Tribolium castaneum: one gene and its partner. The protein of the gene in region 1 interacts with the protein of each later gene in a pairwise test. Links are inferred from orthologs where the notes say so. Each region holds a gene or a part of one and is shown on either strand. Other genes may lie near its edges. The genes, in order: cnc and Keap1.

Region 1 (3,834 bases):
GACAAGTGTAGTTTATTGTAGAGATCTTTATTGGCACCAATAACCAAATATAAGTTGCTTGTAAAAGCAATGTTAAGTGTACAAACTGTAAGATTAAACCCAGCAATTCACTTGACGAAATGCTACACATTCACAGGGATACTTAATAAGCTACTTACAAGATATACAATGTACAAAACCTATACGATTTATAAAAAATATTAGCCTAGTAATTTAATGAAGATGTTATAACTAAGTAAAATATAACCAAGAAGTACGGGTACTACAGTTGTATAAAATAACGTGGTTACAATAAATCACATCCATCATTCAAAAATGATGATTACAGAACGTCTAACTGGCATGAAAATTAGCTCCACTATCTCCCAGTTCCTAGCACCAATAACGTCAGTCACTCGCATTCATCCATTACTTAGAATAACTATGTACAATATGTTATGAAAAAAAGGCATATTCATCACCTGATATTTTCATGTATTAGAAAAATATATTATCGTAGTTCTATAGTGAAATAACGCTTAAAGACAAAGAAAATTAATAAGCACTTTTCAAAGCTTCTTAACCCAGATACAAATCAATAGAAAATGTTTTTCTCAGCACCAACTCTTCGTTTAAATGCCCGTTAAATCAAACTGTTTTTGTATACAGTAAAACTTTTCCAAAATCAATGCGTATAAAAATAATGTTTGAGCAACGTTTGCCGTGAGAAATGGAACTTTCTTTAAAGTGTTACATCAAAAATGTATGCATATAAAACTAGTCAACAGTTCAATCTTTGTGACCTTGAGGTGGTGGCTCCTTGTGTTCTGGATTCGTCATTGTCGAGTTGGACCGAGGGACGACCAATATCGACCCATCTGCAGACGTCTGAAGACTGTATTGGTACGGCGAGTATTGATTCCCATCCGGATCCCGCAAATTCTGCACCGAAAAAATCGTCAGATACCAATATTTGCTCAAGTCACCCCACTTACTTGAAAAACGTGTCTGTATAGCTGCTGGTACTTGTCTTTCATGCGCTGACACTCGCCGGTGACATACTCATGCTCGTTCATGAGCCGCATTTTCCTATCTCGCATATCTTTGACCTCGTCAGCCAGACTCAAAATCTGGTCCAGCTTGCGCTTCCTGCAGTTCTGAGCCGCCACTTTGTTCTTGCCGCGACGGCGGATATCGCGAATCAAGCTCAACTGCGGCTCGCTCAGGTCGTACTTGGACAAGCGTTCGTTGAATTCGTCCATCGGCAAGTTAATAATATCATCGACGGTGATCGGAACGTTCAAGGCACGAGCTCGCTTCTCATCTCTCGTCAAATGCTCCTCGTCACCCTTCTTCGACTTGGTTTTGTCGCGCGAAACTGGACGTTGCATTGCCCCCGTACTTTCAGTGGGCAGGTGGTACGTATGGTTGTGCTGGATGTGGTCGAGGGAGTTTCTCACCAAGTGGCTGTGTCTCCCGAACTCCATCGAACACGAGTACTTCATTTCGGAGGGTTTGGGACCCACGGCCCCCTCCGGCTGGGAGCTGTTGTAGGGGGCTGCCGTGGGGTCGCGGTACTCGTATTTGACGGGGGGCTGGTGGGACACAGCGCTCGTTGCGCCCTGCTCCTGCAATGCGGAATTATGCGGTGCAATTTCGTAAAAAACCAATATTTCCTCAAGATTTTAGCAACGATTACGTGTTTAATATTATCTGTGTGCTTACAAGAATTAAAATAACATTTTGTACTAAGTATTCCAGTTATGTAAGGCATGTTTAAAAAAAAACTGTAAAATTAGAAACATATTTATCAATAAAAATATTAAAAATAAAAATAAAAATCATCATAGTTAACAACTCAACTAAATCGCTGAGTGGAAAAAAGATACATTTTTTTAATATGAAGCCGAGTATGAAACCCGAGATGAAATAAAACAACAAATTTTTGTCTGTGTTTTTATATTTATAAAGAAAGAACATAAATAAACTTTAGATTTAGACAAAAATTTTGGAAAGCTTGTTAAAATGATTTTTTGATTAAATTAAAAATAGTTTTGCACTAATACTAATACGTTTTTCTCTACTGTTGACATCAGAATAAACGATAAAACGTCGATTGAATTTTACTTGGTTTTATAAAAAATTGTCTTAACTAAGACCAAATTAGTGTATTCGGAAAATAAAAATCGTTAATTGTCGGTAATAAAAACTAGAAAAATTTGATTTGTAATAATTAACTTTGCTCAAATGGATTGCCGACTGTTGTTGATAATAAGTGCTAAAGATTTTTTTCTGTTCATTTTTTTACACAAGTGTTTTTTCTTCTTATAGATTTTCTTTTTAGTTCTTACGTAATTTCTAAATTTATTTTCATTTCTATATTGTTTATTTTTTATTATTTTATATTTCTATTAATTTTTCTTTGAGGTAAAATTGAACAGTTTGACCACCTCCCCAACTGTTCATTATTGTTTAATTTTATTCAAGTTGCTGATTCTTCAAATAAAGGGTAAAATAAATTTAAAGTTGAAATGACTTCTTGCCAGTCGATTACGCATATTAATCGGCCAATGTGGTTTGCAAGGTTTGAAAAAGAAAGATATTCGTTTACATTTTACCGGAATATTACTGCACCCCCGTTGGTGCTAAGAATTAACATTGATGATTTATGGACTGTCTGACCCATCCCTAACTTGACTACCTACCGATTTGTCTGGCATCTCGTTCTTACGCTTATCGCTTTTAATTTTTCAATCTCTTCCGCCTTCATTTGAAGAGCTATCAAAAAATTTTTTTTGATATACTTTTGATAAATATTTTAAAAAATTAACACCAACTCATGTTTTTGGCGAAAGTAATTTTGTTTAAAACCACTTAACTCAGTTACAAATAAGTAATGATATACTGTTGTAAAACACCGCAACATGTAAATAAATAAAATAAAGTTATTTTAAAATCTCGGTGCCTTTTATTTAAAAATAGTACCATTTCCGGTTGTTGACAATTTGACGCTCCAAACTGTATTAAAATTAAATAGGGATCCAACCAACGATCTTGTTACATCAAATGTAACCAAAACCATATCCGTTTGCAGTTTTGCTCGACGAGAAAGTGGTCTATTGTTAACTCAATCAGTCATTCTTATCACCTTGTATAATAAATTTGATAAAAATAAGTACTTCTCGAAAAGTGTGTGTTTTGAAAATGATAAGGAAGAGGCTTTAGTTATAAAATCACTTTACGCAAGTTATCTTTGTAATATTTTATTTAAATAAAGCAACACCTTTTGGGGAGACCGTTGATGTAATAAAAACACCAGACACTCATTACTATTTATTTCACTCTAACACTTGTTTCTGTCGATTTAGACTTCAACTTGAAGTAAATAAATTGCGTAAAAAAATAGTTTACGAAGAATTAACAACGCTAAGCCCAAAATGATTTTAAAATCGGTCAAACAACACAAATTAAAAAATTGAGTTTACTTATCGCGTCTTCACATTTGTAATTAAGGATTTTTATAGAAAATAACTAACAAGTATTAACTTTTGTCGTTCGTGTGATCCCAAAAAAATGCAGGTATTTAACTTCTGTAGGACAAAATATTGATAGACTGATTAATATTCTTTGGGTAACAAACAAAGTATCAACAGCAAAGTTTTTTCCATTGTTCCATAATGACATAATTAGGTGGTTAATTAACTATTTGCATAACCACACACTTTTGCAGTGATTACTGATTAGTGAGTGACTTTATGAAGTTCGGTGAATATTTCTAATATTGACTTGACATTCGTTTTTAACACCAAACGAAACACTGATACAGATTTTATGTCTCATAAAACGCCCATTATT
Region 2 (4,268 bases), on another chromosome or scaffold:
GATGACAAATAATTTAACACTGCTAAAATTTATTTTTTTTGACGTAGACAGACTGAGAGAAAAATGAAATAGTTAAAATGTTTGTCTACAAAATTTTAATTTCGGTAAAGAATGTATTTTTTTAAGTACAGTGTTTAAAAATGGTTGTTTATCAAGTTGACTATGGAATTCAAGTTCATTGTGCCGCTTCTTCCCAATGACTATTGTGATTTCTCTGTGAAATCTTGAATTAAACTTTTACTCACTTTTTGCATTTTTCAGCAAAGTTTATTTCCGGGATTTTTGATGTTTTGTATTTTTTCGTTTTTGAGTTCGAGGTCTTTTGCATTATTTTGACGGCTCTGTCACTTTGACGGCATTCACAATTTAAATTAAGCGGCACATTACGTTCAAATTTCATTGGTGGCTTGATGAACAACCATTTTTGAACACATTGTATAAAATACCGGGTGAACAAAAGTGACTGTTTCCAGTACTGTAATCGAAAATGATTTTTATTGATAAATAGTTGACGAAAGTTGTTTCCTTTTTATAATAATTACAAGTGTCAAGTATTAATCTGTCGACAACCGGAAGGCACTTTTAAGATAAAAAAAAATATTGTAGCCAATTTAGACACTCTTTTTTATCATCTGTTATTTCTTCGCATAGCCATCGAGATTTTGTCGATCTAATATTATGACCTAAATTCTCACTAGGAATTAGTAATTCAACTTGATTTCAATCGCCTATAAACATGGTGATTTTGTGTAGCTATTTATTGGTTATCGAATTATTTTTTATCAATTAATTAGCAATAATTTTAATATGAATTTTTCATCATCGATGTAGACTAAGAAATTTGCCAATTTTTCTATCTTCTGTAACTATTTAGACAATTTTAGCTTTACATATGGTGATGTTTCTGTACTTGCAAAAGTATTTGGTATTTTCGTTTTCCTGACATTCCAGGAAAATACTTATCGAAACAATGCATTGTCTTTTATCTTAAAAATCTGTATAATAAAAAATGATGTGACTGAAATCTATTTTTAAAAATGAGAATTACAGGCTGTTGCAGGAAGTAAATTTCAGTTGGGTCCTGCCAAAAATCTGTTAAGGTTATTAACCACTCCATTTTTTCTAGTCATTCTGACGTTGTTGTAATAAATAATAATCACATTTTCCCATCTTATCAGGTGTGTTTTAATTAGAAACAACGTAAATAATTTTTAATGCATAAAAATGACCACTGTTAGCGTGCAATGTAAACTTCTCACGCATTCTTGTCTTGACCTACGTTAAGGTTTGTAACCGGCGGCTTTTAAAAGTCATCATGTCATTCGCTGTTGCAAATCAGAAAATAACAAAACAAGTTTCTTGATATATTCAATAGATAAAAGTTTTTGATTAAATTTATTATCCATCATGTTCAGTTGTGGAGTAACGGTGGAGCATGGAGGACCATTGTTCGAGCTGTGATATATTAGTGCGTAATGTGTAGATAAAAAAAATGATTTCTCCCAGCGATAGTGGTTGGCCGGCAGATTTAGAGTAAGATTGCAAGTCATTTAGTTGATACTGGAATTTATTTTGTATGTTTCAAGGCTGAACATGCAATCACAAATAATGATACTCTAATTTGTTGTTTGTTGGTTTTAACAGTGTCGGTAACCGGACACTAATTAATCCCTTCTTCTGGTGTTATAAATTGATTTTTTGTTTCTTGTGTCTTTGGCGAGAAATGTTTTCCTGAGTCAATTCTTTGAAACATTCTATTTGAAAAATCCAGTAATAGTTTTTGCTGACGAATGTTTGTCGTATGAAGATCTTAATTGCACGAGCAATAAAACGACAATTTATGCATAATTAACTGATCATTTGTTTGGCTAAGATGTGGGCCGGTAATGTGTTGTTATCTTTGTGGTAACCAGAAAAGTATGATCGCGCCACGAGTGAGTGTGGAGATCATCAACTTTTTGACTTCGTTATCAATTGTCACGAAAAAATATTTATGATTTATTTGTAATAAATTAGTAATACTAATAATATAATTTGCAGTATTGAGATATTAGACCTAGCAACTTTTTAATGATTAATAAAATACATATTAGAGTTTAGCGTTGATAGGTAATAGAAATCATTCAATTATGTACGTACTCGTATAGCTTGTGTTATTTTACTTGTAACTTACAAGTATTTGAAACGATATTCTACAGGACTCTTTTAAGATACATATTTTAAAATTTTCGTTGAAAATTATAGTCACCAAAATAGCAGAATGTGTCTTATTAGCCATCAGAATCCAACTTTGGATTACTAACAAATTTTGAACTCAAAAACAACTATTTTTTAATTTATTAACATTTTGAAAGTATGAAAGGTGCATAATAGCAATATTTTAGAAGATAACTTTGCTTTACAATCATTTCTTATCTTTATTATTATTTAAATTTTTCACTTTAGACTTTAGATACAATTGCTTTTTTAAAATAATTTTTATTTTTTCAGTTAATAAATAAAAATTCGATACCTGTTTCTTGTTTTCAAATTTTATTTTTGTAATATCTGTTTCAAAACTAAATTGGTCACTAGAGTCCAATTTAACACAGAATTAAACCTTATTTCTACACCCTTTTAGCACCAGGTAAAGTTTCGACTTCTAGACCGTAAACACCTAGTATTTATGGTCGCCGCACTTTTGAGATTATGTTGTCTTATGCTGGTTTTACACAGCATATGATATGACTAAAGTTATACTTCACTTTCAAGGTTTGCTCTAATATGAGATCGAAAATATTTTCGATCTCACGTTAGTAAGATTTTTCTTAATACTCTCCTTACCACAGATCTTTTTCTGATTTTCTGCATAATATAGTTCAGTCTTTTCATTTCAAAAGTGGAACTTTTGATTTTAAGTAAATAATACAGGTTGCTCAAAAACCGGCGCATCAACTCAATGGTGTGTCGTAGAGAAATGCTAGAACACCATGATTTTTTTATGTATCGATAGTATTTCGAATGAGCTTTCTAATGAAATAGAGTTTGCATAGCAAATATAAAATATTTTTCGAGATTTAAAAAATATATGTATTTTATTACAAGAAAATATGCTTAGAATCTGATAGTCAAATGGTACATTTTTGATATGTACTGATGTGACTAATTACATTAGTAATCTAATTATTACCTAATACATAAATGAATTTCATTCATCAAGAATTATTAACAAAATAAATAAAACATATTTTTTTACTCTTTTGAACACTTTAAGAAATATTGTAAATTTGGTAAACAAACCGCATATCATTAGAAAGCCTATGAAACATACTATCGATACATGTAATGGCACACCCTGTACATTTCAAGTAAAAGTCGACTATTTCTTAAATCTACAAGGTATTCTGACAGGGGGGTCACCCTGTATAAAAAGTAAAATTGTAAAAAAATCTATGTATAAAAGTTACTGATAAATAACGAATCAATGTGATCGTAATTGAATTTGATCAAAAATAAAAATGAAATATTTTTTAAGTTGTTTCCTAGAAAATAGTACCAAGTGTTTGCGATTTTTTATTGAATTTTATTTTTTTTTAACAAAAAAACTGCTAAAGTCTGATAATAAACTTAAAAATAATTATTCACCATTGTGTTAGGGAACGATTACGTAGTGCGAAACATAAAACGATTAAAAATAATGAAAACTGAAGAAGTTAATAAAATAAGTTTGTCGCTCCAAATTTTTGAAAATATGACTTTAGTAATATTTTCAAGATTTTTCCCGTAATCCACACATGCTTTTCAACAACAACAGAGTTGGTGCATTGGTTTTTGAAGCAGCCTGTAGATCCAATATGTTCAAAAAAAAATTTTTTAATGCTAAGATCAGAGCAAAGAATCAGAACATAGGAGCTGTTATAGTTTTCAAGTTCTCGCAAACTTGGTTTTGATTTAGTACCAAAGCAATGTTTTTTATTTTTCCTTTTAGTCATTTTGAAAATTATTTCTCTGTGTGTACATGTTTACATACAAATTAAATTAACTAGTGTTATCTGTGTGATGATGTAAACGTAAATGACATATTGATAGCGGCATTTTAGGTACCATCAAAGACTAAATAATTGGGAGTAAAAAATTTTCGACCAATAAACCATTTTCTCCAAGTCTGTGCATACAGGATTTTTCACTTAAGAAACTGCCCCTGATTGAAAATAGTGGTCTATTCCCGGGAGTTTCATAATTCATGAGAGAATAACATTTTAAAACAAACAGGGTTTTTACTTATCTTA

The links.
Region 2: the proteins of cnc (region 1) and Keap1 interact in binary tests that used the Homo sapiens proteins (3 or more experiments, as listed by UniProt). The link is inferred for Tribolium castaneum from reciprocal best matches to the Homo sapiens genes NFE2L1 and KEAP1.

The regions. Positions count from the first base shown.
Region 1 is NC_087403.1:2,302,040-2,305,873, reverse strand, and holds the end of cnc (cap-n-collar), read right to left. Parts: intron 1,608-3,834; coding exon 975-1,607; intron 922-974; coding exon 769-921; 3' UTR 7-768; downstream 1-6.
Region 2 is NC_087395.1:20,688,648-20,692,915, forward strand, and holds the start of Keap1 (kelch-like ECH-associated protein 1B), read left to right. Parts: upstream 1-1,394; 5' UTR 1,395-1,492; coding exon 1,493-1,533; intron 1,534-4,268. UniProt on the Homo sapiens protein: Substrate-specific adapter of a BCR (BTB-CUL3-RBX1) E3 ubiquitin ligase complex that regulates the response to oxidative stress by targeting NFE2L2/NRF2 for ubiquitination.